5 linked regions of the Coturnix japonica genome follow. The protein of the gene in region 2 purifies or fractionates together with the protein of the main gene of each other region. This does not show direct contact. Links are inferred from orthologs where the notes say so. Each region holds a gene or a part of one and is shown on either strand. Other genes may lie near its edges.

Region 1 (5,456 bases), on a different chromosome or scaffold from region 2:
AACAGAATGGTAAGAAATGTAACAGCACAAAGTAATTCCTCCTCCTACACACTGAGCCCACAGAACTGAAACAAAGATCACCCTCAAAGAGATGGTGTTGAAATGATAACGTGAATTCAAATACTATCTGACAAAAAGTATATATATGACAAAAACAAGCTGATATATATTTGTACGTTTTTGCAGAGAAGCAAGTGGAATAGGATGAATTCTTATACCTCCTGTATGCAGAACATGAAGTGCTTTGAGTCACTGCTGTAAAAGCCTTTAGTAACACACTGAAGTAAAACTCAACTGCATTTAAAAATGTTTATGTACAGACAGATTATAAGGTTTAATAAGGGCTGGTTTGACTCTGTACACATAGAAATCAATCAGCTACAAAAGTGTCCTCTAGCTCAAAGCTGCCTGGGGTGCCAAACTTCTTTACACCACATGCAATGCCTTGTAAAAAGACAGTAATTAAACCAACACAGCGAGTAAGAAGTGCTGCTTTCAGCCACAGCCAAGTGACTCCTCCAGACTTCATCAGGAGTGTGAGCCCAAATCGCTGCTTACAAACAAGGGAAGAAGACCTTTTTTACAAAGGCATATACCAAAATACTATTTACAAATTGATAAAGCACACTTAGCCCTCAACACGACAGCTTTCATCATAAACAGCAGGCTTACAGAAACCTTAGATTCTAATGCTTTTGGTTTGATTAACTGCAGTTAATCTCTTATGCTTAATAAATAAGAAGCATCAAGAATCTTCATGGCACTGAGATGCATAGACTGAAACCATTTAATAGTTCTATTAAATTAAAAAAAAAAAAAAAAAAAAAGATAAAAAAGAGTCTTCAGTTCCTGCAAAGATCAGAGTTCAGAAAGGAATGGCCCTACTGATGTTCTCATGTGCCAAATCAAGCACTGGGGAGAGCAGCCATCACTGCATGCCAAACCACTGCTCTTGATCTGCCCACTGGGCTGCCTCACTGTCACTGCCTTCCAAGTCCCCCTCTTCTCCACTTCCCTCCATATCATCCACATCTTCTTCCTGGGTTGCATCTGTTGGACTTTCCTCTTTTTCCATTTTCTGCATTCCTTCTAGTGACTTCTGATCATTTGGATCCAAGCTGAGGGGAAAGAGAAGAAAAGTAAGTATTGCCTTAAGACTTATTTTTCTTATCTTTATGGTAATGTCACAAATATAGAAACATTTAACTTCAGAAGGTAACATCATGGTTCTTTATTACCTATTTAAATTTACACAGTAGCTCCTGTTTATATATCATCTCCTGCTCTAATGGAACAGCTCCCAAGAATCCTGCCTGTATAATTATTAGTTATAAATACATCCATGCCTCAATCACTTCAGTAGCCAAGGAACTCCATGTCCAGCAATGTGTCTGCAGTTAATACAATCCCTATATTTTGCACTCCTTGGCACAAAGCCCTGTGACCAACTAATTCATTATCAGAATGCGATGTATACGTTTGTCTGCTTTGAGGAAGAATGATGTGAAGCTACCCTTGATGCATGCCCTAATCAACCAGTGCCCTGGCACTCAATTTTTTACTTGGTTGGTTATTCAATTCTATGTGTACGATACAGTCTCAGCCCTCATGCTTACCTTAGGGCAATACTGTACTGGTCCATTGCTTCCTGGTACTCATTGACAGCTACAAGGAAGTCTCCCAGTATTCGATGCAGAACACAGTCACTCTGATTAGCCAGTGCATTCCTCAGCAAAGCAATTCCATCTTCATACTTCTGCTCTCTACCTGTTTATTTGCAAAACTACAGTTTTAATTAATAGTTTAGATAACTGTGTAAGCAGACTGTACTCCAAGGGCTACCACAACACAAAAGCATTTCTTCTCTTGGAGCTGTTGGCATGAAGGATGGCAGCAATACGCTTTTTGTAAGCAATAACTGCTACACACATTAACACATCATATACTTTGAATGCAAAACATTTTGTATACAGTGGCTTTAAGTGCTGCCATAACGTCAGTTGCTAGGTATAATTAATTCCCATGCTTTTTCCTTCCAAACAGAACTGACAGATCCCTGTGGTGCAACATCCCTGTCATGTTATTTGCACTGATGAGGCCACAGAACGCTCCTGTATATGAAAGAGTAAGTTTTAAGAAAGCTGACATGAAAAAAGAAACTTACTAAGAAGTTCTGCTTTCTTTACCACAGCTTTAATGTAATCAGGTCTTTGTGTCAGTGCTTTGTCCAGTAATGTTTTTGCTTTCTCCTGTGTGACTGGGTCTTCAAGGCAGACTGTTGCTAACAGAGTGAGCGTCTGTGCATTTGCTCCCAGAGTTTTATACACGTTATTTGCCATAACCATAGCTTCCCGGATACTGTTAGATGCCAGGTAACATTCAATGAGACCTGATAATAAGAAAGAAAAGCGTTTCAGTTTCATTTGGTATATCCAGATGATACCTGTTGCCAGCAGTTGAAATATTCTACAAGCAATTCCTAAGACTGCCAATATACAGTATGTTGGAAGCACTATTGTCCATTTTTATTTAATATTGAGGGTTTTATTCTGCTAAGAGAACTTTTAACTCCACAAAAAAATGCATACTCCCCCCAAGTATTTCTCCTTAACTATTTACCATCAAACTCTGCTCATGCTTAGGAGACAGTATGTCAAAATGAGGCTCCTGGTATGACTAACCATACACTGAATGTCATCATCCAAAACTGATCTGCTCAAAACACCCGGGTCTGTTTACACTCAGATTAAACCACTTAAAAACAAACAATTTGAAAATGCTTCTTATAAACACATGCATTCTCTAGTATCTCCTGTCTGACTACTTCTACCAGCACTATAGTTTTTTGGGTAAAAATAACTTTACATGTTAGAAAGTCAACAGGGGAAAAGAGCTTGTCTATTCTTTCTCAATAAGAGCCGTTAACACTGCACCAATGCAGTCTGAGGAGCTTTGTTTCACTCACCCTCATAGCAATCCAACCTGCAAGGTGCAAGACGTATCGCTTCACGGAAGTGTATGATTGCTTCCTGTACTCGGCCCATATTCCTGAGGGCAGCTCCCTTCAGCAACAGAGCTTGAACACTGTTGCTATTAAGCTGGATAGCTTTGGCTCCTAAATATAAGGCACGGGAGTATCGTTTACTATAAAAACTATGACACCTATGGAAAGACAAGATGGATTGTAAACATGTACTGCCTGTGTACACTCACAGAGACTTAAAAGAGGGAAGGAACAGGTTACAAGTAACTGCTGAACCTTCTACATTTTAAGTTAAAAATAAAAGTTTGTGTAAAAACAAACAAACAAACACCTCCCCAAACACCTCTGGAAAACAAACAAACAAGAGAACACCATTAACCATCACAGCTATTTAACACATCATTGCTATTGCAAAGGTTTAGTCATTCAAACCAGTTTAGTCTTAAAGAAACCAACCAAAATAGGTACTCCTGACTAGTTCAAGTTACTTCCAAAACAGGACAAAAAAGCTGATCTCACTCTATCAGCTGTAATGGACTACACTCAGCAAATCAAGGGTAAGAAAGGAAAGAGAGCATCTTACCCAGACACTACCCAGGGTTCTGCGTGTTGATCTGAAATATTGAAGAGACGGCAGCCTAAGTTTTCTACATCCTCCAGTCGACCTTCCCGTGCCAACAAATAGCCATACACATCCATTCCTACAGTGAAAAGTTTGAGAGACAATATTTGCTTGCTACTCTAACTTAATTTAGCAGAACATTATACTAGGTAAATTTTCCACTATGATTTACTCACCTTTTATTAGGTAAGGATCCAGCATTTGAGCTTGTTCAAATTTTAGAATAGAGTTTTTATTATCTCCAGCTCTGAAATACAGGTCTGCTAAGCTCCCCAGTAGATCTACATTATCCCTCAGCAGTGACTTTTTCTCTAAAGAGCTTTAAGAGAAACAAATTGCTGTTGTTAATGTGTAATGATATTATAAAATGTCATTGAAGAAATATTTTATGGCATTTGATTACATCACACTCTTCCAAATCTTACCAAATTGTATTGATGGCTCTAGTGTTATCTCCAGTATGCACAAACGCATATGCCTTGATCCACACTGAAAGCCAGTCCAAGTTTGGAATGCTCTGAATGATATTTATTGTCATAGAGGCCACTTCTGCACCCTTCACTGACAGCGACAGCAAACCTGTTCACAGAGGTATTCAAAATCATACAGAACAATTTCAATCACCGTTGCTACAAATTATCTGAAGACAAGGAAGCACAAACAATTTGTCACGAATTTATAGTTTGCATTAAATACATCTGCATCAGATATTACCTAGAGATGGCAGTCAATTACCTAGTCCCAACCATGCTTCAAATTATAATGCTTCTTAGGATTGATGTACTTAACAGCGTGGAGAAACCTACCTAGTATGGCATCAAGTGCTAACGGGCACTGCCTCAGTACTTCCTTGTAGCTTGTAACAGAGGAGCGTTCTTGACCTGCTTTCTTGTATAGATTTGCCAGCATCATATTGATCTGCAAGTATTAGAAAGGAGTCCTCACTAAGAAAAGGTCACAACTTTGCCCTCCCTCCAGCATGCCGTCCCTCCCTTCCGTTCTGAGTAGAGATCACTATAACCTACTATGTATGTATTATAAAATTAATATTGACTCTTGAGTCCAAATGTAAAATGTACATCTTTTTATTTACATAGTACAACTGGAAACCCCAGCATTGTGACATCCAAAAATGGACAAGTGTTTTAAGTATGACAAGAAGAACCTGTACATCCACTGCACTAATCTTCTTTCAGTTCATTTCTTCTATCAATGGAAGCTCTCAAGAGAAGGAAGGCATGAAATGTTTCTTTTTAGCTTTTAAATTGTAATCAGTGATAAAAGAACAGAAACAATTTAAGCTCTGTGCAGTCCAACTAGCTGAGTCCTGCTACATTCTAGTGTATATAGATTAAGTTTGCTTTCCTCAACCTTTTTTTCTACCTTCTGAGCAAGCACCGATGACAAACATCTGCCAGAACAAACCTTTGGGGTCCTCTGTCTGGAAGGAATCCCATCCAGAATGGCAATAGCATCTTTATCTTGCTTCAGCATGGTGTAACATTCAGCCATTTTATATTTTACTTCAATTTCAGACGGTAAACACTGAAATGAAATACAACTATTGAAGGCCAACTGTAGTGGAAATGTTATGTCACAGACTGAAACAGTGATGGAGCAGCTGGTGGGAAGGACCAACCCAGGGAAGCTCAGGTGCAGACAATGTATCTGAGTAACTGGAAGGGGTGGAGCAAGGACCCAGCTCTTCCTAGCCCTTATTTAAGGGTTGGCAGTGAAGGTGGAAGTATTACACTAGCAGCCTGCATACTAGAGACCTTCTAAAGGTAAGCAGATTTTCTTCCTTTGTTTCTGTATTCACAGCTACTGTATCAGGGCTTGTTTTCATTTGCT
Region 2 (7,339 bases):
CTCCAGGTTAGGGCAGCTCAAGGTCTCCCTCTTCCTCCTGCTCTCCAAATCAGCTCTTCCTTCAGTGAGCCACAAGTGGCATTCAGATCAACCTACCCAACAAGAGCTGCCCTGGAGTTAAAGGCACCGTCTCAGCACACATACAAAGCATGGGGGTAATGGTGGCAAAAATAATAGCAAAAATCAGTATCATCTGGTTCCCAAACAAGAGCAAGATGCCAGAAGATCCTGCCAAAGGCTGAGAGGGGACCCAAGTCATTCTTGGCTAAATCACAGCCGTGTTATACAAGGTATGCTACACACTGGCTCAGAGAACAAGCCTTGCTGAGCAGAGTCCCACTGAACGCAACAAGCCAGCTGGCAGAATCCATTTATGTAATAATAGTCATTTTGCAACTAAAAAGGTGCAAGTTGGAGCTGCACCTTCATTAGGCTGATTCTGACAGCTGGATCCTCACATGTGTTGCCTATGGGGGTAGTGAGGGGGGAGGAAGGTGGCAGAGATCAACCACACCAGTGCAGTGCTGATTTTCTACAGGTATAGCACAAGATAAAGCTCTAGCTTACACAAACTACCAACAAAGAGTATTGCTGCTGCATTCTTTAGGAAGCAAGTTTGGGACTGGAGCATCACTGTCGCTATAGAGTGGTTTAAAGCAAAAACACTTTGGGGGCATTTATCCAATAAAAACTACTTAATCCTGCAATTCTTTGGGCCAGGACAACCCAGTCTTACTCTCTTCTCTGCAGCAGTGATTACATTTTACATGCACTGCACCCACCAGGACCCAAAGCAGTCATCTCCTTGAGTGTATGATAAGCAGCTGATGCACTGTAGCTGTCATGTCCGCTCTCTGAGCAGCAAACAAATACAGACAGGAGAGAAGCTTCATGTGCTGCAGAGTTTTACCATGCTTCCAGAAGAGGTTAAGTGTCCAGGCTCTCATCATCCAGCCTCCTGAATACACACATCCATTTGTAAATGCAGAGCAAACAGGGAATCCCAAAACTACCACACCAGCTACAGCTCTATGGCAAAGCATCCTCAGAGTCAAAAGCAAGCAAATAAAAGCCAATTCACACATGTCTATTCTCAACCTAGAAGATCCTGGGCACCATCCAAGCATCACTTCATATCTAACCCCCAAATCTCAAAGGATAAGCCCACACTTCTGACAGTTACACAGCCTTGGGAATTACTTCTCAAGCTTAATAATGTAGTGACATGCTAAGCAATCACTTATAGCACATTTTAACATTTGTTCAAGGTGAGGAGAGGGGAAGAGAGTTTCCAGTGACAGACTCCACTATATTTGCTAGCTATAGAGGCTCTGGTAAGTAATCAGACACGTAGTGGTACTGGATGCTTCCAGCCATGGCAGCAGCCTTGGAGTTCAAGCATCATTCATGTGGGTCACGGCAGATGATCACCTTGAAAAGCTGAACTCCAAGGAAAGCCTTCACTTTATTTCCATGATGTTTTTCAGAGCTATTTGGAAGGCACCCAAATGTACACAAGATACAAGGCCTTACATCTGAGCTGAAGAGTTTTAAGCTGACCACGTCAAGAAGTACAACAGTGCTCTGTTGTCTACATAAAATGAGTCAAAGCACCAGAGGTTGTGACATTTAATGAGCCAGAAGAAATCTAACCGGTCATCTTGATGTCTTTTAGGACATAACTTATTAGATAATTAAAAGATTACACTTTTAAGGCAACATAGAAGCAGAGATTTCCAGCATTTATCTGTCAGACTTTGTGTATCTTGCCTACAAAGATGAGTTTGGAATATCAGCCTTGTAGGAGCTGGTGATGAAATGACAAACAGAACATCTCTGCAGTTACAAAGTGAAAAGTAATGTCTGCTTATTTCATGCATACTATAAAAAAAAAGCACAAATAAATAGAAAATCAGAGATAAATGCACAGAGTCCAGCTAGAAGAGGAACTCAAAAGCACAGTTTAACTTCATTCAAGCTGTGTACTGCAAAATGGAGTCTGATGATTGGAGACACGGTGTCAGGGCAAAAAGAAGAGTGAGCTGATACAGAAAGCTTCTGCAGCACAGAGCTCCCAGCTGTGCCCTGTAACAGCAGATCCAGGCAGGACCAAATGCCAGCCTTAATCTGGATGGCTGCACTGGCAACTTTTCTACCTTAAAAACCAACAGTCCAGCCAAGGCCACAACAAGTAACAAATCCTAAACTTATCAGCATTGCTGTAAGCAGGGAACAGCAGCAGAATTACTAACTAAAGAGTTATTTGGCATGTGAAGAGTCTAAATAGGGACATTCACTATAGCAAAACCCTACCAAAACTCACAAGCAGATAAAAGCTTGAGAACAGTATTAGACAGGTCTTTATCATGCATTTCTACCAGGGAACTTTTAGAACAGCAAATACTTTCTTCTAGCTTAGTCTAATTAGCAGAGTAGTGGAAACATTAAGTATTGTTTCCTGTCATTCCCTTTGAAATGCATTCTTGCTCCCTTTTCTAACACAACCCCATGTTTTCCTAGAAGACCCAGCTGCTAAAATAGCATCACAAATACAAAGGTTGCAGCAGTGCACGGGTAACACCACTGAAGACCCAACAGAAAACTCATTCCTACCAACACATCGTCCCACACTCAGAGGAACAGAACAGCAGCATCACAAACACAAGGCCCTGCTCTATGCGAGCACTGTGGCTGCCACCATCTCACACAAGGTCAGGCCAGCAGGGTGGTGGTCTTCCACAGGAGAAGTCCTTCCTTCCTCATCCTCTTTTCCTTAAAGAAAGAATCAAAGCCAGACTGTTCACCAAGCATTTCTGTAGCACCAAGATGCCTACAGCTCCAAACGTAACAAGGAGAATAAATACACTGAGAAGCTAAAAAGAGAACATGAATGGGATTAGCAGAAAATCACACAATTAGAGTGATGCACATAAGGGGAAAGGTAGGAAGAAACAGGCAGCTCTTATCCTGTAAATCATATCTTTGCAATGGGATGATTGAGAACGAGCAGGAAGCCCATCAAGGTAGGACATGAAGGTAGAAAAACACAATTATGTTGTTTTCTCTCCCAGAGCAGAGATACAAACTCTGAGACACATCCACAGGGAACAAGGCACGTCCTTCACACCGGCACAACACGTAGGGAACCGAGCACGTATCGAAACGAGACAACAGCAAAGAGGTGAGCGGGACGGTTCAACAGGTCTCCCCGGGGAGCTGCGGGGAGCAGAGCGGCCTTGTGCTGCCTGCACAGCGACGGGGAGACCGGGAGGGATCAGGGGGGTGAGGGGTTGGTCTGCGAGGCGCAGGGGGCTGCTGAGAGCCCACGGGAGGGGCCATAGAGCTGCCACAGGGCCCAGCTACCGAGGAACGGACACCGAGAGCAGCCCCCGAGCGGACAGGGCCCTTATCGGCCTACAGACATGGCCCTATAGAGCGGGCGGCGCCGCTCCGAGCTAGGCCGGGACCGGGCCTCGGGGCCTGAGCGCGGCGGCAGCCCGAGCCCGTCCGCCTGGGGGTCGGTACCTGGACGGGTTCCTGTAGCACCGTCATCCTGCTCCCCTCGGCCTCCTCCTGCTCCTCCTCCTCGCCAAACCCGGAGCGGGGCGGCCCCGGCCCCGCCTCACTGCGTGTCCCGGCGGCGGCGCGGTGCGGCCCGGCCCCCGCTCATTTAAACTCGCAGCGACCGTTACCGGGGCGGGCGGCGGGGAGGGAAGGAACGAGGTGGGCCAAGAGCCGAGTCCGCCCGAAGCAACCGGCGGAAATAGCCGAACCCACTGCCGGAAACACCCGAAGAGGTGGGCGGAAAGAGCCGAACGCTGACGGAAAACAGCCCTCTCGGCTGCCGAACGGAAGCGACTCAGCTGGCGGAAACACCCGAGTGCGGACGGAAAGAGCCGAGCGCTGAGGCGGGGCAGGCGGTGTTGCCCCTCAGGATCTGGGGGTTGGAGGCCGCTTGGGGGCCTGAAAACAGCTTTGTACCAACACGAAATAATAACAAACTGCTTTTTGTTTTTGTTTTTTAAGCAAAAAATGGGACTTCAGGGTTACTCAAGAAGCCTCAGCGTCCCTCGGTGGTGGGTGAGGGGCCTGGTTCCCCCCCACAGAGCACAGAGGGCGCTGGCCCACATCTCTGTGGTAAATCCATCCATTTATCTGCCATAAAACCATAAAAAGTCGTTTTTTAACGACCCACAGATCATTAACTGGAGCTCAGCGGGTTTTTTGGGGTTTTTTTTTTTTTTTTTGGGGGGGGGGTGTGGGGGTCAGGTTTTAAAGGTTGGAGCTTTGATTGTGGAGAGCTTTCCTTGCCTCTGTGGAAAACCTGGTGTCCCTGTGACAAAGGACCACAGTGCTCATCCATTTCCACCCCCCTGCTATGTGCAGGGTCACCAACCAGCAGCCCAGGCTGCCCAGAGCCACATCCAGCCTGGCCTTGAATGCCTGCAGGGATGGGGCATCCACAGCCTGTTCCTGTTCCAATGCCCCCATCCAGGTCAGAAATGAAGGGACTGAGCAGGACAGAGCCAGCACCGACCCCTGTGGAACACAACCGCTGAGCAGCCGCCATCTGGATTCACCACCAATGAATGGCAATGATGGACACCTGGCTCCCAACCGGGTTGCTTTCACAGCATCATAGAAAACCCCATGTTGGAAGGGACCCATAAGGATCCAACTGCTGAGCCGTTTTGCCCCAGGAGCAGCAGAACCTTCCCATAAGTGATGGTGGAATGTGCAGACGTGAGTGTGTGTGCATCAGAGCCCGCTCTGTTATCATCATCCTCACCCCAATCTCTGCCCCTCTGCGTGATGAAGCTCCTGGGGTGGAAGCTCCGTCTGCTCCCTGTTGCACACAGGCTTCTCCTGACACCCAGGCCATCTTTGGTATGAACCTCTGCCTTATCTCAGGCTGAGGAGATACAGCAACAGGCTCTCCCTAAAGTGGGAGGTTATTTTTCTTACTTCTTGGGCTTCCAGTGAAGTGTTTGAACTGTGAAAGGGCAACAGCCTGAACTCTTGTCCTGGGACATCTCCATCTGCTGTAGCCATGCAGTTCTATGGATGAGGTCAGTGGATGCTCTGTGTAAATGGGACTGAAGCCACCCCTCAGCACCCCGAGCTCAATGCAGGGAGCACAGAGGAGTACAGCAGTGCAGAATAGAGGTATGTGCTGCTCCTGTACACATCATTCCAACCTGCCTCTGTCTGAATCTACTTATTGCCTTGGAGAGACAGAGCAGATCCCCAGAGCACAGCATGGCTGACGTATGCTGGGGGCTGCTGCAGAAGCTGGAGTTATCAGCCCTTGCATTCTTCTCGAGTCCTCCCTGTCCTTTTCCACTGCTCTCTGCCTGCTTGCAAGAGCCTCTTTGCTTTTAATTTATAGCATCATTCCTGTCTGCACAGGAGCTGGAGGCTGGAACACACTGTGTGCAGCAGCAGAAGCACAGTCTGTGCCTTGCTGGGGTAGGACCATCACATCCAGTGGGGCCCCCAGCCCCTGCTGCACATTTCCTCTGTGGCTTTGGGCAGATCCTTTGCCTCTCTGCTCCGTTACCATCTGTAACAGCACGATCCTCTGCAGGATGCAATGCCACTGCAGGGCCACGAGCCCAAAGTGCAGCAAGTGGTGCCCTATAGTGCCCTTTCACCACAGTCCTCTGCCAGGTTCAATCACAGACTGCACTTTAAAGGCATTAAATGCCCAGATTGTCCCTAGTGGAAGCTGTAGAAATACCACAGACAGAAGCTAGGAATCTAATCATGCATCTATAAACAGCTTATGTTGCTTTTTATGAGCATTCATATCAAGCAGTGGGAATTGGAAGCAGCTGTTGCTCGGTTGTGGTGGTGGCTGAAGTCAGCCATACTAAAGGAGAATGCTTTAAACTGCCAGTCCATGGAGTGAGGGCACTGCAAGGAACAAAGCAAAGCGTTATCTGCTCCCAGGTGCTCTGCTGATGGCTGAGTTGTCTCATGAATTGTTCACCACTTCTAAGGATGTTAGCACCATTTTTGCAGGTAGGGAGGGAGCTTCCAGCTGGCATTGCACAGCCCTGGATGGCTCCTGGCTGCTGTGTGTGTGCATCAGAGTCAGCCAGGGAGCATGATCTGTCTGGGCTTTACAGGATGCTACTCATGCATCAGAGCGGCTGCACCAAAGCCATCCAGGGTGCATGGTCCTGGCTGGGATGTAGGATGATAACCATACAGCAGCAGGGCCAAGCATGTCCCTCTTTGCTCCATAGTGTTCAGCTTAGACCTGCAGGGAATGCTCACAGCACAGCACTGTAGGGTAGATGGGCTACAGACCCAAAGATGTGTCCCAAAGCCAGAAGGACTGTGGGTGCTGCTTATCCCTCATCTCCAAGCCTTTCTTCCCCCAGCTGCAAGACCCCCAACCCACAGCAAAGGCAGGGAGATGAGCAAAGACCCTCATGCTGTGCCTGAGCTCCTCTCTCCCATCTGGAGGCCACCAAACCCACTGTTGTCCCTTTCTTCCCTTGCTGTCACAGCATCCTGCCTCTTCTGGTTGCTGGATCCTGAGCTCCTCACCCATTGCTTTATGACCAGCCCGAAGCCAAAACACAGAGACCACGTAAGGGAGGATGGAATGAGGTTTAATGATACAAACTGCACAGGAAAAACCTGAAAAGAATAATTTAAGGCTTGGAACTGAGGTGCAGACTTGTCCCGTGTTTACCCACTGGGGTGCATTCATGGAGGCTGACTGTGCTTATGGAACACCTCTGCCTTCAGGGGAAGGGGGGGACGTGGATGTAGGAATCTCATGGTTTGTGGGGCTCAAATGGATTCCATCACCTCCAGGAACCTGGAGAAAAGCATGAGAGCAATGAACACAACAAAGCATTGCCATAGGAGCAGGAGGTGAACCCCAGATGTCCACAGCTCTAACTCCATGCCATTAACAAACAAACAGACCCTGAGCGACCCACCTGAAGTTCCTTGGCTCAGCCAGACATGATGTGCTTGACAAAAGCTGGGGGGGAAATGAGAAATGAGCTCTCAGACACACAGCAGGGGACAAGGGGGACTCAGTGCAGCAGAGATGCTCTGCCAGGACCTGGATGTCTCCTTCTGCTCCCAACCTTTCATGTTTTAAACCCACATAGAGAGACCCCCAACCCCTCCTGGAGATAAACCAGCTGCTCCATCCCTGGTTTTCTGAGGGCAGACAGGACAAAAAGCCTCTTTTCCTCAGTTCTCTCCAATTTTAGGGGTTCTCAGACGTCAAGTCAGATTTTCACCTCCTTGGAGCCACAGGAAATCTGTGCCTCCAAATGTTCCCTATTAACTTCAGCTGTGAAGCACAGCT
Region 3 (6,605 bases), on a different chromosome or scaffold from region 2:
AACTGTTGTTTGCAAGGCATTAGTGTAATCTTCAGGGTTAATATTCAGCTCACTGTAGTAACATGGCAACTGTTTAAAGAAAGTTAGAGTATTACTAAAATATAACGCAAACCCGCTGCTGTAAGTAGGCTGTAAATAGCATAGCTTAAGAGTGGTCCTCCGATTGCTTGTGCAGTCTTAGATTCATGTAACTAGAAAGGATATACTAAGCAGAAGTTGGATGACTTCTGACTCAATGTCTTTATTTAGTATAATTGCCATTCAAATGAACCAAGGATTCCAGCAGTATGAGATCATAAATCTGAGTTAACTGAGCATATGGAAAGAATGGTAAAAGACATTGATTGGGTTGGGTTTTTTTCCCCGGTGACCTAAAAGAAAGTAAATAATTGCAGTGATTTTTTTAAAGCTTACTTCGGATAAGGCATCTTAGAATAAACTTCAACACAAGTAATTAGAGCTACGGCATCCACATGACAAACTACAAGCACACACAAGGAAAGCAAGCTAGTATGATTTGAGTGCCAAAATAAAGCCTAAACAGACAACACTCGATGAATATTTTAATCCACAGTTGGAATTGCTGTCAGTCAGCATACACTTTTCCTGTATAAACTATCACTTCTGCTGGCAGCATTTTTCCATGCTCAGGCTGGCAAGTCATAACTTGAAACCCTATACTGATGTTATTTTAATACCTATTTACTTTTTGTTTACAATAAAATTAGGTATATAGTGAATTAGCACTACACGTGGGCATTTTATCCTCAAGCCCAGTCATCCACACACAAGATATTTGACTTTAGACCTGCAACAACTGTTCATTTTCAGCACTTCCACAGATACCACTCATAACTCATTTTAATTAATTGCTCTTAAACTCCAAGCAGATCCTTTTCTCCAATTCTGAATAATGTTTTCTTCAACAGTCTATGTTTAAAACACAGAACAGCAATTTCTCAATATTTATTTAATTCCAACATTCTAGAACATCACATTAATAAGTTACCTTCTCTTTTCATCACAAGACTTGTATCTATTTTGTTCTTCAGAGTGACAGTTGAATGGGTAGCCGTTTCTGAGCTGCTCTCTTCTAACAGCTGCGCAGAACTTTTTTCTTGTAATAACTAAGAAAACAAAAAGCATGTTGAAAAGTAAAATGGTTCCCAAGTATAGTGCCCAAAAGACATTTCCATCTGATAAGAAATGACCAGCGTACCATAGAACAAATAATTTAACAAAAGAGCAGGATACACAGAAATATTACCGATCCTGCTTTTAAATCCATTAACACACTCAATTGCCACCACACAATTTCTTTAACAAAGACCAAATGTTTTCTTTCTGGAAGGACAAGACAAAAATGCAAGACACATCTCAAAATTATACTCCATCAAAAGCCATGATTTACTGCTCCTTAAATCATTTAACAGACTTCAGTGAATTAGCATAATGGAAATACAATACTTCCCAAGACAAAAAATCCTGACTACAGCTGAAAGAGTCTTGTAGTCAAGATGTAATCTCATTTCCTATTTATAAATTATATGAAGGATTTTTAAATCCCCCTCACCCTGTGCTATTTCTCCCAATGGATTTACAGAGAGCTTTTTCTTAACACCTGATCACACATAATGCTTTTAAATTCTGAAAGCTGCAGTGAATATTTCTGTTCACAATTGATTGCTTAACAGAGCAATTCTATTTTATTACTTAATCAGACTTGAAGCGTTATCATTTTTCTAACAACATCGGACAACCATCTAGGGTTCATTCTGTCCATCTGAAAAATGTTTATATTACCTTTGAGTCTGCCAGGTCACACGAATCATTCTCACTAAGTTTTGGTTCAGAGAGTGGAAAAGGTGGAATCAAGGCTGTACATTTGGAGCTAGATATTTGCCTACTGAAAAAATATTGTTAGTTTTATAACATGCAAACATATAACAGTTGCCTTTTGTAATACAGATAGAGACAGTTGTGTGAATTTCAAAAACCATAGGAAAAAGGGTCCACTGATAGCCAAGTGAGAAACTGTACAGAAGTGTTTAACAGTGCCACCATAATCTCATGAAGTGACAGATGACTAATTGGTTGTCTTCTACTACGACAGGTAAAAAAGTACAGCTAGCAAACAATAGGCTTCAAAGTAAGTTTCTAGCTCTTGGACAGACATAACAATGTGGTGTTTAAGTTGGCAGATCCTTCTGCTGCTAAGCAGTTACATTAAAATGAGCATATTCACTTTCATAATAGAACAACGAACATATACATCAGGAGATCTCCATTGTTATGAAAAATTATAGCAGTACTGCTAAAAGAGCATTTAAAATTATTCTGGAAAATAAAACAATTTTTGGAACTAGAATATAAAAATCTCAAGTTACTTTTAACAGAAATTATCTTTTAGTCTGTGCCTCTCTATTGAGGCCATTGATTTGCTAGAACAAGGAACTGATCCATGCTGCTATACAATCTCAGTATTAAGTTAAAAAGATGTTTAATATCTAATCACAATTATGATTATTTGTCAATCTTAAATTTTTAACATTAACACTTTATATTCCCACCGTCTTATAAGAAAAACAAATCCCTATTGAAAAGGAGAATGAAAATCTGCTGCACTGCAGCAAAACCAAGCAACTATACCTTTTCATAACACTAGCTGTATGAGGGACATCCATCTTCTGCACCACGTCATCAAAATCATTTACTAGTTTAACAGGAACCCTCCCAAAAGGGCAGGCCTAGGAGTAAATCACAAGTTATTAAATGCATAAAGTTTTAAAATTTTAATATTTTGAAAGAAAATAATTCATGTTATACCTGGTTAGATTTGTTTAGTGGTCTTAATGGATTGTGGAAGTTAACAACAGCATCAAGTTCTTGTGATTTCTCGTCCCTGAAAGCAAAAAGAAAAATAAAACACCAAAAAAACAAACAGTAGCAAATGGTTTTCTTTCATAAATGCTTTAAGAAATTAAATAAGAAATCAAGTCATTACCCAAGAAGTTTAGCAACAGCAGAAGAATTTTCAGTAGAATCGTTCCTTTTTATATTTCTCTGATTTCCAACTACACTCTGAAGTCCAGACACTTGTATACCTGACGCTGTAGGTAAATTAGTTAGAATTATTCAGACTGTACAACAGGTTCCATTAAGCACTTCTAACCATTTAGAAAGAAATACATCTGCAGTAATCTAATATCAATATATATTAATAACATTATCTATTATAAATCTAGACATATATTTTATACAATTTTAAAAGATTTACAGCCAGAGAGATATCTAGGACAGGCACAAAGTGACACACAACTTCTAAAATATATTAGCTGCTTGATTTCTGCAAAGCTATAATTGTAAACTACTTTAAAACAAAGGGAGATTCAACAAATCCAAAGACTATCCAAGCAATTTAAATTTTCACTTTAAATCCTCAATCACTGGGTTAATGGCTTAAGAAGCTGTTTCTTCCTCATTCCTTGTGATGCAGCTTTCAGAGCAAGTCCATTTTCTAGATCTCCACTCTGAAAATAAGCCTTCACTCCAGAACAGCATTATGTAAAGAATGAATCTGAAGCTTGTCTTATACAGACTCACCTAGAAACATAGAACTGCTCACATATAGACTCAGTTTATTCCATACTCCCGTCTAGATAAACACAATAAATCCTAAATTAAGCATCAAAACCCAGCTTCTCCCAGAGATAGTACCTCTAAGGTACAACAGAATAGACAGATGAATAAATTCCCTACTACTAGTACTAGTGACTCAGTAACTTGTTACCAAAGCTTGTTTGTTGGACCCTTCTCACTTATATGCTAACATCGCACATACAAAAACACTCATATTTCATACCAGGCAAATTAAACTGAATTAGACAAAGTAATTAGCTGGGTGTAAGTGAACTACCTGATTTTGCTCAGGGCAAAGTTGAGAGTGCTCTTACGAGCTGTGTTCTACAACTGCAACTTCACAAAAGATAAGGAAGCCAAAAGCAACAGCTTCAATAGCTCAACCTAACAGAAAATCTCACCCAATTATGGAAGACTTAGCAAAAGTTATCTGAAGTTGTACATTAACCTTCAAACAAAAACGTAAATTCAATTGCTATCATCCAAACTATTTCTGAGTAAAGCTGAAAAATGGAAGGGGAGGTAACTCCTCAGAGATTAACAAATAATCATGATATAACCAGATATATATCATGAAATAACCAGAACACACAATCATAGAATCACAAGAATAGAAAGGACCTACAAGATCATCCAGTCCAGCCATACTCCCATTACCGTCTCTACCACAAGCCACTAAACCATATCTTGTAGCTCCTCATCCTGAAGCCTCATGAACACTGCCAGGGAAGGTGACTCCACCACTTCCCTGGGCAGCCATTCCAGTGCCTGACCACTCTTTGAGAGAAAATAAGTCTTTCCTTATGTCTAACCTAAACCTCCTCTGCTACAGCTTGAGGCCAGTCCTTGGGTCCTGTTTGTTGCCTGGGAGTAGAGGCCAAACCCCCCTCATCACAACCTCCCTTCAGGAAGTTGTAGAGTGCAACAAGGTGTCCCCTGAGCCTCCTCTTCTCCAGACTGAACAACCCCAGCTCCCTCAGCCACCCTTCATAAGACTTGTGCTCCAGACCCCTCACTAGTTTTGTTGCCCTTCTCTGGACATGTTCCAGGGCCTCAACATCTTTCTTGTAGTGAGGGGCCCAAAACTGAACACAATACTCAAGGTGCAGCCTCACCATTGCTGAGTACAGGGGGATGATTACCTCCCTGCTCCTGCCAGACACACTATTTAATACTATCTAATACAAGTTAGGATGTTGTTGGCCCTCTTAGCCACCTGGGCACACTGTCAGCTCACGTTCAGCTGAGCATTAACCAATACCCCCAGGTCCCTTTCTTCTTCACAGTCATCCAGCCACTCAGCCCCAAGCCTACAGTGCTGCATGGGGTTATTGTGGCCAAAGTGCAGGACCCAGCACTTGGCCTTGTTGAATTTCATCCAATTCACCTAAGCCCAGTGATATAGATTACCTAGATCCCTCTATATAGGGCCTCCCTACCCTCAGGCAGGTCAACATCAGTAATACAAAGGTACCTATATCACACCTCAGTAACTTCCTGTGCACATTGTGCATAACTATGTTACAGTATAGACCTCTCCATTTAGGGAACACTGAAATATGAGCTCTTTTAAGAGCCTTAGGTGAATACTAAACCCAACTTCAGTTTATTATCCTGACGAGTCTTATTAAAAGGAAACTACCATCTGATTAGTCAGATAAACAGCTAAGCTGATTTATAACACAAGACCATTTAAAAAAAAAGAAAGAAAAAAATATGCAATATATTATATGCAGTGAACTACTACGGTGTATAGGAAATTGGTAATCACAGCCTGAACCTCTGATTAACCAGCTGAGGCAAGTGTCAGGTCAGCTGTGGGAGCACAGGTGAAGGTGATTCAGCTGTGCTTCCGGAAGGGGTTCATTTAAGGGCTGATGACCACAACAACAGCATCTCTTTTTGGAGATAGTTCCTTTGTGGAGCTTGGGTGACCAGCCTCAGCATTTTTCATCTAGATTGAAGATCTCAGAATTGGTGAGTTTCTCCTATAGATAACCTTTGGCTATCTATTATACCACCATTCTTGTATTATCTCCTACTTTCTTACTTTACATATGGTAAGAGCTTCCTCATCAGGTAGGCCTTGTTTTCCATCATTATAGCTGAGCACATTCATGGTTATCTGCTACTTTCCAAGAAATCCCCAGTTTAAGGACTTTGATTTTTACATACAACTTTGCTTATTGTTTAAATTCTAGAGCAGTTTATCAAAGTTAATTCATTTTTACTTTGAAGCCTCCCATGTCTCTTTCTGTCTTTAGCCAGAAGAAGCTAGACTTCCACCAGATGGACACTGATATTTTAGCTATTTCCATTTGGGTGTTTTTCTTTGTAAACTACTCAAGTCAAATTTTTTGGTCAAATTTTAAAAAATAAGTACTTCAACATATACTTAGAGTTTAACACTGACACTGAGAATGGCTTTGAACTGGCAGTTGACCAATCCGATATCATCATTGCCACACTCCCATAAGTATTTAATATCCAAGTTTACCATTGGACTCTCATATTCAGATGATCTATAATATTTTAATTCCTTCTTGGTTTGAGACAGCCTCTCTCTCATCCTATTCAGAATATATGGTTGTTTGTTTGTTTTTCCTTCCAAATTACCCCCAGTATGTCAGATATTTATATTGCCATCCATGAAAGGAAGAAAGGGAGAGGGAATTAAAAAGCTTCTAGACATCTAGACATGCTGAGGTTGTTATGTTTGTATCATTACTCTATAACTGCATATAACTCATGTCAAAAGCTTTCTGAACAATCTTTTGCTGTGTGAAGAAATGTATTACACAGCATTACTATCTTTAAATAAGTTTCAAAAAGCAGCACTTTAAGTGCAAATATTAAACAGACAAGTCTTAAATGCCTGTAGATTAAGAGATAAACCTTTTTATTGCTCCAGAAGTAACATGAAAAACTAAAGCGAAGCTCAGTCATTTAAGTCATCTACAACCCTG
Region 4 (6,133 bases), on a different chromosome or scaffold from region 2:
GGCGGGCCGGGGCCGGTACTGGGGGGCGGCCATCAGCGGGGGGGCCACGTCATTGCGGATCACCTCGGGGCGGGCGTCCAGGCCGCGGTGCAGCTGGCTCAGGTCGTAGTCCTGCGTGGGGATGGAGCAGAGAGAACAGCAACATGACACTGGAGGGATGGCTGCAGGCACTGCTTTGCACACTCCAAACATCCCTCATGGTTATGGCAACCCCCCTGTGGGCCACCTGCCATAGGAACAGTGCTGCAAGGATCCCACGGGCAGCACTGAGATCTGGCACCCTGGTCCCACCTGGTCCTCCTCGCCGCCGCCCTCCTCATCGTAGTTGTAGACATTGTCCCTCATGTCATCCTCAGGCGGCAGCAGCGGCTCCTTCTCCACTTTGCGTCGCCGGGCAAAGAGCAGCAGCAGCAACAGCAGGACTGCGAGCACAGGGCATGGCGTCAGCGCTGCGAGGGGAAAGCAGCCCCATCCACTTCCCCATCACACCATACTCACTCAGCAGGGCCAGGATGCCCCCCAGGATGCCCAGGATGGCAGGGACACCCAGCCCACCGACGATGTATGACCTCCGCTCGCAGTTCTTGGCTGTCCCTTCACACTCACACACCTGGGCTTTGACCTGTGTCACCTGTGTCTTGCCCTGGCCGTCCGTCAGCTTCACAAAGATGCTGTACTCGCCCGGCTCCAGCTCCTTTTTCAGGCCCACGGCCAGCTCATCTTGTGCAAGAGAGAGGGAACTGGGCTCAGAGTCGTCCCCAAGTGTGGAGACACTATCAGGGCTCTGCTCCATGGCAGCTCCCCATCATGAAAGCAGCAGCAGCTCAGTGCTGGTGGCATTCAGGGTAGCACAGGAAGAAGTAGCTGGGATCTGGCCCTTGCTCAGTGTCCCACACCCCACAGCACTTACCTTGGCTTATTATACTGACAGTCCAGTTGTTGCTGGAACCATGCTCCAGTGCTACTGTGAAGGGGTAGGTATGTGGGGGCAGGTCCTTGTCGACAATGCTCAGCACCTGCTTCTCAGGCTGCCGGCTGCAGATCTCAAAGGACCGTGGCTCTGGGGTGGGCCCGTTGTCATTCACATCCTGGAGGAGCAGCAGCAGCGTCCCCGTACCGGTGCTATCCGGCACCCCTACAAAGCCAGACGTTAGCGAGGCAAAGAGACCACATCCCCAGAGCTTCCATCTGCCTGCAGCGGGGGCACAGCCTCACCATTGTCCACAGCCAGGATGATGGCCTTGTATGTACTGTTGATGGCGTGCACCGACTCACGGTCCAGCGGTTGGGTGGCCGTGACGATGCCGTTCTGGGCGTCAATGGCCAGCCAGCCTGCTGGGTCGCTGCCCATGCGGTACCTGGGCAGAGGGAGCGGTCAGGGGGAGCTCAACGCCCACCCCATGCTCTCTCTCTGCCAGCCAAGCCCCCACTCACGTGATTTTCTGTCTCATGTCCCTGTCGGGGTCTTTGGCCGTGTAGGATGTAACCTCGTGCCCCACTGGTAGGTCCTCTGGTACCTCCACCCTCTTGACAGGGGGCATGAAGACAGGGGGCTCATTCACGTCCAAGACAGTCACCAGGACGCTGGCGGAGGAGAGTGTGATGGGCACAGACAGGGGCACTTTGTTCTCCACCGTCACCACCAGGTCATAGCGGCTCTTGGTCTCATAATCCAGGCCCTGCAGGGTGGGGTGAAGGGTTGAGGTGGTAGTGGGGCCGATGGGGACATGACCCACTCTGGGGCCACTGGCAGGGACGTGACCCACCTTGGCTGTCCTCAGGATGCCATTGTTGGTCCTGGGGTCGGTGGTAATGCTGAAGGCACCATCCTGGTCCCCACTCTTGATGTGGTAAACGGCTTGCCAGGCTGGGGAGCCTGGTGCGTCTTGGTCCGTCACCGTCAGCCTGGCCACCTCCATACCCGGCTTGTTCTCTTCCACCACCCCCTCGTACTGCACAGAGGGCACAGGGATGGTCACACATGGGCAGCCTGGGGAGGGCAGCAGCTGGGGAGAGCCAGCCAGGGTGGGGGAGCACGTACCATGGTGGGGTTGAAGACGGGAATGTTGTCGTTGGCATCCGTGACCTCAATGATGGCCGTGGCGGTGTTGGACAGACCCTTGCCCTCCTGGTCGGTGGCCTGGACAATCAGCGTGTAGTTGGGAGTGGTCTGCAAGATGAGGTCACAGCATCAGAGGCCCCGCGTTCCCACAGAGCACCCCACAGAGCGCCCCTCTGTGTGCGGGTCTGTACCCACCGTGGGGCGCAAAGCAGAGCACCCACCTCCCGGTCCAGCCCTGTGCCCAGCACGCTGATGACGCCCTTGGCTGGGTCGATGGTGAACATCTGGGGGTGCGGGCTGGGCGGCTGCTGGCTGACGATGGAGTAGCTGACGATGCCGTTGTCCGTGTTCACCGCATCGTCCGCATCCGTGGCGTTCACGGTCATCACGGAGGTGCCTGGGCAGAGCCAAGAGCCGGGCAGACGTCACTGGTGGGACGCGGCACCGCCGCCCCCGGCACCGCTCCATCCCGGGGCTCCCGGCCCCCCGCCCGCCCGCCAGCCCCCACACCTGGCTTGGCGTTCTCCTCGATGTAGCCAACAAAGACCTCCTTGACGAACACGGGCTTGTTGTCGTTCTGGTCCATCACCGTGATGATGATCTCCATGGGGTCCTCCACGGGCTGCCCGCTGGCTGACACGGCGTGGGAGAAGAGCTGCAGGGGGGGGCACCGTCAGCCCCACGGCCCCGCACGGCCCCGCCCGCCCCACGGCCCCCACTCACGGTGTAGCGATCGATCTTCTCCCGGTCCAGCTGCTCCGTCACCTCCAGCCACCCCGTCTCACGCTCGATGATGAAGATGCCCACGGGCGGGCTGTCCGCGCCCTGCCCCGTGATGCTGTAGTACACCTTGGACTCCTTGTCCTTGTTGGATTTGATCTGGCGGCGAGGCAGGGTGCTGAGAGGGGACACCCAGGGGCTGGTGCCCGTCCCAGTGACACCACGCTCAGCCCTCGGCCCCGTACCTGCACCAGCCTCATGGGGTAGGGGCCCCGGTGGTTCTCCAGGCAGCTGATGGGGGGGATGACCCAGTCCCTCTTCTGCCTCCGGAGGAAGCCGGAGTCATGCTCGGGGAAGGTCAGCACAGACGGTGTCATGTCCTGCAGGAACAGCAGCTCATCCTGGTGCCTGTGGCAGCACAGAGCAGCCCAGAGGCACCTGCTGCTCTTGGCCCGAAACAGTTGGGCTGCAATGACCATGGGGACTTCACCTGCAGGTGTTGGTGGTGGTAGTGGCGGCGGTGCCTGTGCCTGCCCACAGTCACCCGTGCTGAGTGCCTCTTGCCCGTGGCATCCCGTGCGTAGATGATGAAGCTGATCTCCCTCCCATGGAGCGTCAGTGGCCGTTTTGTTGAGACGACGCCTTCCATGTTCACCTTGAAGCGCGTGTCAGACGGGACATACACGGCCCACGGCCGCCCGCTGCAGGCTGCAAAGCTCACTGCGGGCAGGGGAAAGCGTGGGCAGGGTCACCCCACCATGCACAGAGCATCCCCATGCACCACTGCATGCACAAGAGAGCCCAGGCACAGAGCACCCCTGTGCACTGCAGTGTGTGCAATGCAGCCTGTGCGTGATCCACTGTACCATCACAGAACCATCCAGGCTGGGAAACACTGCAGACATCCCCCACCCACCCCACCATGCCCATAACCGCATCCCTTGGTGCCACATCCCCACAGTCCTTGAACTCCCCCATGGACGCTGACTCCACCACCCCCTGTGCAGCCCATACCAACACACTGCCACTCTTCCAAAGAAATTCCTCCTAATACCCAACCTCAGTGTTCTCCATCTTTGCCATGTGGGCATGGTGCATCCATACAGAACATGCCTCCATGGCACAACGTGTGGCACACCACTGCTGCCCTGCCCGTGGCTGTGGGCTGAGGGTGCTGTGCTGCTGCTCCGGCTGCTTTTCAAATCAAAACAAGGGCTGTGTCTGGCTCAGATCCGCTGGCACGTGGCCACCCCAGCAGCCAACTGGGATATGAGTCTGTGCAGTGGGGAAGGTGCACCCAAGGGCGTGAGACAGCAGCTGGGGCACCCCTGCTGCCCAGGTATCCATACAGAGCTCCATCCCCTCTGCTGCTTGGGGTTCTTTTGGGACAGATGACACCCCGGAGTCACCCTGCTGGGTCACAGTGTGAGCTCCAGCACAGGCCATGCAGGTCTGGCAGTGCTCACAGCAGGGACCAGCATACCAGGGCTGAGGACAGCCTGGGGGGGACCGCGCAGCTCAGCAGCGAGCAGCAGCATCACATGAGGCTGGGCCGCATGGCTGGAGCTGCCAGAACAAACGCTCCTTTGTCTGGGGATGTTTTGTTTGAGCCGGCAGCACTCAGCCGGGGTCCCCCTGACCCGCACAGCCTTGGCTCCCACATGGCCGTACAGCACGCGGGGTACCGCCATGGCCCAGCAATGTGCCCGGGCTGGGAAGCACGGAGCTGGGCTCCCCAGGGGCGGCCGTCACTGCCGGGACCTGTCCCAGCGTCCCGTGTTACATCAGCCTGCAGGCAGCCCAGGAATTCAGAGACAACATCGAGGGGGAGGTAATGGCAGAGCTGGGCCGGGGGCTGCTCGCCCACCGCCGTGCCGCGCTCCCTGCGGGGCGATGCCAACCCAGGCGGGCCAGCCGGTGATACCGGCTGTGCAGGGCTGTGCTGGGGCACGCCGGGCGCTCCCGCACCGTGTGCTCGCAGTGGGGAGGTGCCCCATCCCTGCGGGTACCCGGCTCCTGGCACTTGGCCGGCGGAGCGCACCGTGCACAGCACCCGGCCCCGCACCGCTGCTAAGCTCCCCCTCTCCCCCTCTCCCCATCTCCCCCTCTGCGCCCGGCCGTGCACAACCTGTTTTTCCAGCTCCACACTTGAAAGCCAGCCCCTCCCAGCTCCATTCTCCCCGGGGCACTGAGCCAATGGGGCCTCGGCAAGGCGTGGGGCAGGGGTCGAGCTCAGGGGCTCCTGCACTGCGGGAGGCAACTGAGTGCCACTGATTTCCTGGACCTTCAAATGCGTTTGGCCGTGGGGCCCAAACCAGCGAATTACCGGCTCAAAGCTGGGGTGGGGAGGTGAGCCCTCCACACTGGGCTGGGACCTGGGGACACCAAGCTACCCCCATTCTGCTGCGACACAGGAAAGTGTCTCACTGGGGCTGGGCACAGGGTGAGTCACAGGCGCAGCCAAGTGCCACCATCCCAATGTTCTTCCCCATCCCCACGCAGGTTGTGCAAGTGCGGCTGTGCCGGGGCGGAAGCTGGTGGCGGGGAGAGGCACACGTCAGCCATGAGCAGCCAGGGTGAAAGTGCTGCAAGAGCGCAGTGAGCCACACGTCCTGCCAGGGCCTGACATCACCGAGTTTCACCGTGACTTCAGACTCTCGGTTTTCTCCCATTTGGGGCTGATCCGGGACCTACGCAACTGGGAAGCGTCACACCTGGCTGCACACCCGTGTTCCTCCCATAAGGTGCCATACCCACACAGCCGAGGGCTCCCTCAGAGCTCCTGCCTGGGATCCACCATCCCATCCCCTCCCTTAGGACCCTTTGCTCAGTAAGTGAGGCTGAGCTGAGCCCCAGGGATGCGGGGCAGGTGCTGTCTGTCCTTCCCTTGGGGTGTGGGGCAGCAGCAGCCCCAGCACCCAGCAGAAAGCATCGTGCCGTGCAGCTTTTACAGCCCGCATTAACATGGAGGAAATTGCTCCTTCCTCCACCAAGCCCTTTCATCAGGCAGGCAGCTGCAGCGCCGTTGGGGAGCCCAGAGCTGCACCCACCAGCCCCTGGAGCTCCCACTGATGTTCACCACCCGAGCGCTGTGCGGGGCCAATCCAGACCTGTCTGACTGCAAACACAGCGCTCGGCTCATCGGGTAATTACAGGGAAGCTCATCACGCTGCTCGTGCTGAGCCACAGATGGGGCTTTTGAAAGGCTGCACGGCACGGAGGGCACGGCAGGATGCTCTGTGGTCAGGCTTTGTGGCAGCAGCGCTGGCACGCGCGGGCAGACCCAGACAGGACGCCCAACTCCCACACACCCCCCCTGTCCCCAGCCCCAGACGGGAAGTGCTGGTGCTC
Region 5 (5,750 bases), on a different chromosome or scaffold from region 2:
AAGCAGCTGCAGTTCTTCCAGGTGTGTGCCATGCACTGCGTTACAGTGCGGGCAATGAATTTCTTCCTCACATCTCACACATCCCCACTGCGTGGTGCAGGATGTCAGTGACCGCGTGGAGAAGGAGCCAGCTGAGGGGGCCCTGGTGACAGCCCTGGAGGCGGGTGGTCGTGCTGTGGTGAGGACAAACTGGAGGATGCACATCTCCCTGCCGCTGCAGATGGGTAAGAAGCAGGAATATACAGGGAATGGAACATTCCGGGTGTCAGATAGCCCCATGGTCAGACACTGGAGGTGATGGAGGCACGCAGAGCAGAACCCCATGGCTGTGGGGCTGTGCTCCCAGCACCCTCTTATCTGCTCTCCCCACAGACCTGCGCAAGTTCCGCACCTACAAGGGCAGCTCAGTGCGTGACCTGCTGCGTGCCATGAGGAACAAGGTACATCCCACCCACCCCCCCCACCCACACTGCACTGCCATCCCTCACATCCCCCTTCTCCTGCAGAAGCACCACTACCATGAGCTGCCTGCTGAGGTCCGTGAGGCGCTGGGCCCCGTCCCCGATGGCTTCGTGCAGTACTTCACCTCCCGCTTCCCCCGGCTGCTGCTGCACACACATGGTGCCATGCAGCTCTGCGCCCATGAGCGGCTCTTCCACCCCTACTATAGCCCTGAGCTGGGGGGCACAGGGAGGTGAGCAGGGTCAGCGTGGTTGCAGCACCGCTCCTCATAGCCCAGGCTGCCAGATTATTGACCTTTGGGGCTTACCTGTATGGGACTCAGCCACAGCAATCCTCCTGGATGGCCCCGGAACCTTCTGGCATCCTTCTCTCCCCAGAGTTGGACAGGATGAGATGAGGACATGGGCACCTTGTGGTGCATGTAGGGTCTGCCAGACCCACGGGGCTTCTGCCTTTGCAGAGCCTTGGGGTCCAGACATAGGAGCTTGAAGACCAGAGAGTAAAAATTCTCTACTGCAGATGCGGTATTTTGAGAGGTCAGGGAAGGAAGGAAAACAAAACCACTTTCCTGGGAGCAGCTGGAGCCCACAGGTTGCTCCTCAGATCAGCAGCCTCGTTCCCAAGGTTCCTCTTAGGGAAGCAGCTGTCTGCACGCTTAACACAGAGATGGGAGCAGAAGGACTGATCGCACAGTGCTGACCCTGGACACAGTCTTTATCCCCAGCTGACAGCACACAAATCAGTGCTCAGCATCTGTCACAGGGCTTCAGCCTCCCTCTTTGCAGCGGGACTAGGAGGACATGCCAGGCCTAGGGGGAGGCTTGAAGTCCCCATCACAGTGCTGATAGCAAGCTGGGTTTGTGCAGACCCATTCCTCTTTTTGCTGGAATATGGGATCTTGTTACTGTAGGTAACAAGGCATTTGTACCTGGTTTATCTTCAGAACACTGTATGGCCAAGAACATTTTATACAGAATGTTACAAAATAATAATAATTAAAAAAAAAGCTTGTCTTGCTTTAAACCAGACTTGTACAACAGCAGCAGATGCCAGCCATCAGCACTAGACTATTGCAGCAGTCCAGCATGACTACAGTGTTAGCAAAGTACTTACAACATGAAACATAATCAAAGGCTCTGATCAAACAGAAAAGGGGAGGCATAGAACTGCTTTCCTCCTGCAATAAGCCCCAAGGCTCTTCTCTATTTTCTTTTTGGCATTGCCAAAGAGCAAATCCAAGGCTGAGCTCAGCCAGCAGCTGGTGGGAAGAGCTGGTGGAGATGATAGGTCACGAGGAATCTACAAGTAACATGCTGCTGCCTCCCTGTCAAGGAACCAAGAGAGGCTGGACACTCCCAAGAACAATCTTTAATCAAGTTATACAATATACAAAAGTTTAGTTTGCATGTAGAACAAGTTCAGTATTAAAATGCAGATTGCTCAGTCTCAACCTGGGCAGGTTAAATACATTAGTTGTACTGTGACAAAAGGAAACAAAGTCCAGAGCATCATGCACAGACATGTACAAAACTTACATGATCGTTCTGGGGAGAACCCCACGCTTTATCTCATTAGAAGGCCCAGGAACCTCCAACAAGAGGGTTGGTGTTTGAGTCAGGCTTTAGGCTTTGAAAAGTTAAGGGGATGGGGAAAAAAAAAGACTATATAAGTAATTTTAAAAAAACACTTTGTATTGGGAAGAGCAAGAAACCCCTTTGTGCACCACTCACAGTGAACACAGCACCATCACCACAGCATCAGGGGCTCCCTGGGGGCAATCAGAGTGTACCCAGAAGCAGGAACCCAGCTGTGTGATGGCAAGTTACAGTACAAGGGATGCTAATAAACTTCCCTGTCCACAGCTGAGCCGGTTTGGCACAGATGTTGGTTCCATCAAGACCAAAGCCTAAACGGAGGATTTCACACGGGCTGAGCCAGATTTTGAACTGAGGAGTTTCTCCACCATGGTGCGAGCATAGCGTAGTCGGCTGGCCAGCTCCTTGCAACATCCATGCTCTTCAATGAGGCTCAGCTTGTATGTGCGGAAGTCCCGTTTCTCATCTATATATGTGACAGCAGCCATTAGAGGGCACAAAATGACTTTGGTGTGGTCCTGTGGGGGAGGGAACACAAGGTCAGCACATTGCTCTGCAATGTTTTTCACTCCTTCGGATGAACCAACACAGCAAGGTCACCCCAACTGCAGGCCAGCAGCATGCTGACAAAGCACAACACTGCAGAAAAGCCGCAACAAGAAAGCTCTTACTCATAGAGTGAAGCAAAGGGAAACAAGTTCATGCTAAAGGAAACAACTACTAGATGAGCTAGGAATGGCTGGATGGCTTAAATACCAGCAAGCAGAGCAAGGAGCCTTCTAGTGCTACGTTCACAGGGCAAAGCTTCAGCTCAGGTTGTAACTGCCTGCAGGAATCACCACCTTACCACAAAGCACTGAATGCAGCAAGTCAGTACAACAGCCTCACCTGGAAGAAGTTGATCTGCACGGTGCCATTGCTGAGGTGCAGGATGATGGCACTGCGGGTCCGGAACCACGTGCAGAGGTAGGGTAAACGTGCCAGCTCGTCTCCTTCCCGAGGTGTAATGTTAGCACCTGCCTTCAGCAAGTGCTCGCTCATGTAGTTCCTGAAGTATTTCAATAGTGTTATCTGCAAATAGAACAGGCTGTCAACAGACAGGCTGAGGATGAGCCCTGATATCTGGGGAGAGTAGGAGCTGTTACCACAAATTGAGACTTATGTCTTTCAGAGCTTAAGGGGTCACTGCACAAACTGGTGCAAGTTCTCAAGCACCACCAGAGTTAACTTCACTGTCTGAGTACAAGACTCATTTTGCTGAATGCTTCAGCACATGTCAGCTTCATGAGAGTTTATTTATGTGAAGCTGCTCAGAAATGAGCTTCAGTTAGCAACTAGAAAAAAGCAAGATGCTGCCAGGAACTCTCTTTTGGGTCACATTTTACCAGCCAAGAGGAATCCTGCTGAATGCGACTCCCAGTAACAGATGTTTCCCCCCCCCCACTGTCCACCCTGATAGCAAAGCTCAACGAGACCTGCAGAAATCTCATCAGGAACAGCCACCCACCACCAAGGGCTCCTGTCCTCTGGACTGACCTTCTTATTCAAGGCAGAGGGGCAGGATCTCACAGTGAAGTAGGACTCGGTGTTGTTTTGCTCAATGTACTGCAAGCTGTCCCCATCATTGTACATAATGAGACGAGTGGAGTCATTGAAGAGAACTCCAACACTGTTGTCACATAATTGATAACCTGGTTGAAAAAAAAGCCTGTCAGACCTTCACACACATGGGACCCTTGGTTACATGAAATACAGAGCTGGATCATCTAGGGGATCCCTGGAGGCCACCTCATCAATTTTAAAGATCCTCCTTTTAACAGAGGTCGAGATGGCACTTTTTTCTCCTCTGGGTTTGTCACCCTCCTTTGCTGCATTATCTGCTGCATAAGCAACTTCAACTCCTACACTGAGTACACACATTAGCCACTTTGGATCCACAGGGTCCTGCTGCCTGCATCCTTAATGTGGCCAGGGTAGATATTCAGTGGCCATTACTCTGTGTTCACTTAGTGTTTGATGGTGCTCCCGGTGATACTCTTGAATGCAAACACTGATCATGATTTAAGAACTAAATCTACACTGAGCACAGATCAGGACTTCTACCAGCTGCTTTAGGAGCTAGAAAAGGCTGAAGTACTGCCATCATGTTATTTACCTAGACCATACTTATCCGAGTAGTCCACCCATTTGCTAACCCAAAAGATGGGAATACAGGCTGGGTCTTCAGCTTCTTCTGCAAGGAGAAAAGGAGTTTGTTAGAAGACATTTTAAGGCATGCTGTGCAGCACAGCAAGCAAGGCCAAGAGGAAGGTAAGTAGCTTCCACATTGCTTTTCTGCCTTTCAGGTTGAAGCTGAGGTCAGTTGGTCCCTCAGTTCAGCCAAGAGGCATCAATGACAGAAGCAAGTTGTCCAAAAATGTCAGTGCCTGTGGGATTGTCCCCAGACTCACCTTGTCTCACTGCAGTTCTCTCAGAGGGTTTGGCTGAGTTGACTGCAGTCAGCTGCTGTAACATGTCTGCTAAGTGACACTCAATGCTGTCTCCCACCTCCCGCAGCCCAGCTGCATCTTCCTTTTCAGGCAGGTTTTCTAATGCAGGGCTTTCTGGTCCTGGGCCAGAAAAAAAAGAGAAGATTGCAGAAACATGAGCAGCAAGTTTCTAAAAGCACCAATTTACATGCTACCCTAGTTATAAGAAACACATTATGCACCTCATAGCTGAACTGCTCCCTGCTTTGGTTCTGGACAAAGAACAAGGAGAACTCCCAGACACGATATGTTCTAGTTATCATGAGAACTGGGAGAGTAGGTGAGGCAGCACTATATTCCCCACAGATGGGTCTGTGTGTTGCTAGAGGCCAGGCAGGCACTCATCCAGTGCTGCAGTCCTCAGCCCTCACTTCCAGACGCCTCCTCTTACCTTTGTTGAGTGCCGTCAGTGGCTTTCGCCCATTCAGTTCAAGTGTGCTGGGAGCGATTGAAAACCGAGGTGCAACAGTGAGACAGCTGGTGGGCAGGCGGCTGGGGATGTACCCTGATGTGAAGAACTCATCGTTCAGCAACTCATTGATAGTTGGGCGCGTGGCAGGGTCAGATCTCAGCATCTTCTGAATGAGGTTAGCAGCTACAGGGTTGATGTGCTAGGAGGAGACAGGCAGAGTTGTGAGTCAAGCAGAAGGACAAGCACACATTAGTGGCATCTGCTCTGTATAATACAACAGGTTCTGCTCAGAGCACAGCTCTGGGTCAGGCAAGCAGGACATAAGCCTGGGAGACAGAACCATACAGGTTCACTCTGCCACTGATTGATACAGCCCCTTCCCATCTCACTGTGATAATAGCTGCTTCACTATTATGTGAGAGCCCACTGAGTGCCAGAAATGGGATGGTACAAGAACGGCTGCAAGATGAATAGACCCACCCATGAGAAGTACTTTACCTTGGGAATAGTATACTCATTCTTCTTGATTCGGAGGTATGTTTCTTTGAGACAAGAGGTTTCAAAAGGTGGTTTCCCCACCAGCAGAGTATACCTGTGTGTTTGTAGACATGGAAGTGTGTTAGATTTATTCCCCTCCCTCCCCCAGAGCACCAGGGAGGTCAGGTGCCAGCAGCCATGGCAGTGTGCTGGATACAGCACATCCATAGCTGCAGGATACACCAGAACCTCACAGGGGCCAACAGGATGTGGGGC

The links. The genes of interacting proteins can lie anywhere in the genome.
Region 1: the proteins of CDC27 (region 2) and ANAPC7 purify together in Homo sapiens (affinity purification with western blotting; 23 studies listed by BioGRID and IntAct, with this or other methods). This does not show direct contact. The link is inferred for Coturnix japonica from reciprocal best matches to the Homo sapiens genes CDC27 and ANAPC7.
Region 3: the proteins of CDC27 (region 2) and TTK purify together in Homo sapiens (affinity purification with western blotting; 3 studies listed by BioGRID). This does not show direct contact. The link is inferred for Coturnix japonica from reciprocal best matches to the Homo sapiens genes CDC27 and TTK.
Region 4: the proteins of CDC27 (region 2) and cadherin-1 purify together in Homo sapiens (affinity purification with western blotting; 4 studies listed by BioGRID and IntAct, with this or other methods). This does not show direct contact. The link is inferred for Coturnix japonica from reciprocal best matches to the Homo sapiens genes CDC27 and CDH1.
Region 5: the proteins of CDC27 (region 2) and PLK1 purify together in Homo sapiens (affinity purification with mass spectrometry; 4 studies listed by BioGRID and IntAct, with this or other methods). This does not show direct contact. The link is inferred for Coturnix japonica from reciprocal best matches to the Homo sapiens genes CDC27 and PLK1.

What each region holds. Positions count from the first base shown.
Region 1 is NC_029530.1:4,519,999-4,525,454, reverse strand, and holds part of ANAPC7 (anaphase-promoting complex subunit 7), read right to left. Parts: intron 5,151-5,456; coding exon 5,031-5,150; intron 4,524-5,030; coding exon 4,412-4,523; intron 4,185-4,411; coding exon 4,031-4,184; intron 3,925-4,030; coding exon 3,782-3,924; intron 3,685-3,781; coding exon 3,567-3,684; intron 3,163-3,566; coding exon 2,966-3,162; intron 2,390-2,965; coding exon 2,165-2,389; intron 1,768-2,164; coding exon 1,617-1,767; intron 1,119-1,616; coding exon 929-1,118; 3' UTR 1-928. UniProt on the Homo sapiens protein: Component of the anaphase promoting complex/cyclosome (APC/C), a cell cycle-regulated E3 ubiquitin ligase that controls progression through mitosis and the G1 phase of the cell cycle.
Region 2 is NC_029542.1:2,282,308-2,289,646, reverse strand, and holds the start of CDC27 (cell division cycle protein 27 homolog), read right to left. Parts: upstream 3,784-7,339; 5' UTR 3,553-3,783; coding exon 3,526-3,552; intron 1-3,525. Other genes in the region: MYL4 (myosin light chain 4), read right to left, coding at 6,975-7,003. UniProt on the Homo sapiens protein: Component of the anaphase promoting complex/cyclosome (APC/C), a cell cycle-regulated E3 ubiquitin ligase that controls progression through mitosis and the G1 phase of the cell cycle.
Region 3 is NC_029518.1:72,241,747-72,248,351, forward strand, and holds part of TTK (dual specificity protein kinase TTK), read right to left. Parts: intron 3,111-6,605; coding exon 3,005-3,110; intron 2,903-3,004; coding exon 2,827-2,902; intron 2,748-2,826; coding exon 2,650-2,747; intron 1,907-2,649; coding exon 1,804-1,906; intron 1,128-1,803; coding exon 1,010-1,127; intron 1-1,009.
Region 4 is NC_029526.1:16,827,883-16,834,015, reverse strand, and holds part of cadherin-1, read right to left. Parts: intron 3,503-6,133; coding exon 3,273-3,502; intron 3,163-3,272; coding exon 3,028-3,162; intron 2,942-3,027; coding exon 2,786-2,941; intron 2,718-2,785; coding exon 2,573-2,717; intron 2,460-2,572; coding exon 2,284-2,459; intron 2,171-2,283; coding exon 2,042-2,170; intron 1,953-2,041; coding exon 1,435-1,952; intron 1,359-1,434; coding exon 1,216-1,358; intron 1,136-1,215; coding exon 911-1,135; intron 721-910; coding exon 499-720; intron 423-498; coding exon 292-422; intron 112-291; coding exon 1-111.
Region 5 is NC_029529.1:6,812,244-6,817,993, reverse strand, and holds the end of PLK1 (serine/threonine-protein kinase PLK1), read right to left. Parts: intron 5,590-5,750; coding exon 5,496-5,589; intron 5,197-5,495; coding exon 4,977-5,196; intron 4,667-4,976; coding exon 4,508-4,666; intron 4,291-4,507; coding exon 4,213-4,290; intron 3,749-4,212; coding exon 3,594-3,748; intron 3,129-3,593; coding exon 2,946-3,128; intron 2,576-2,945; coding exon 2,369-2,575; 3' UTR 1,811-2,368; downstream 1-1,810. Other genes in the region: ERN2 (serine/threonine-protein kinase/endoribonuclease IRE2), read left to right, coding at 1-21, 101-224, 373-440, 507-698. UniProt on the Homo sapiens protein: Serine/threonine-protein kinase that performs several important functions throughout M phase of the cell cycle, including the regulation of centrosome maturation and spindle assembly, the removal of cohesins from chromosome arms, the inactivation of anaphase-promoting complex/cyclosome (APC/C) inhibitors, and the regulation of mitotic exit and cytokinesis.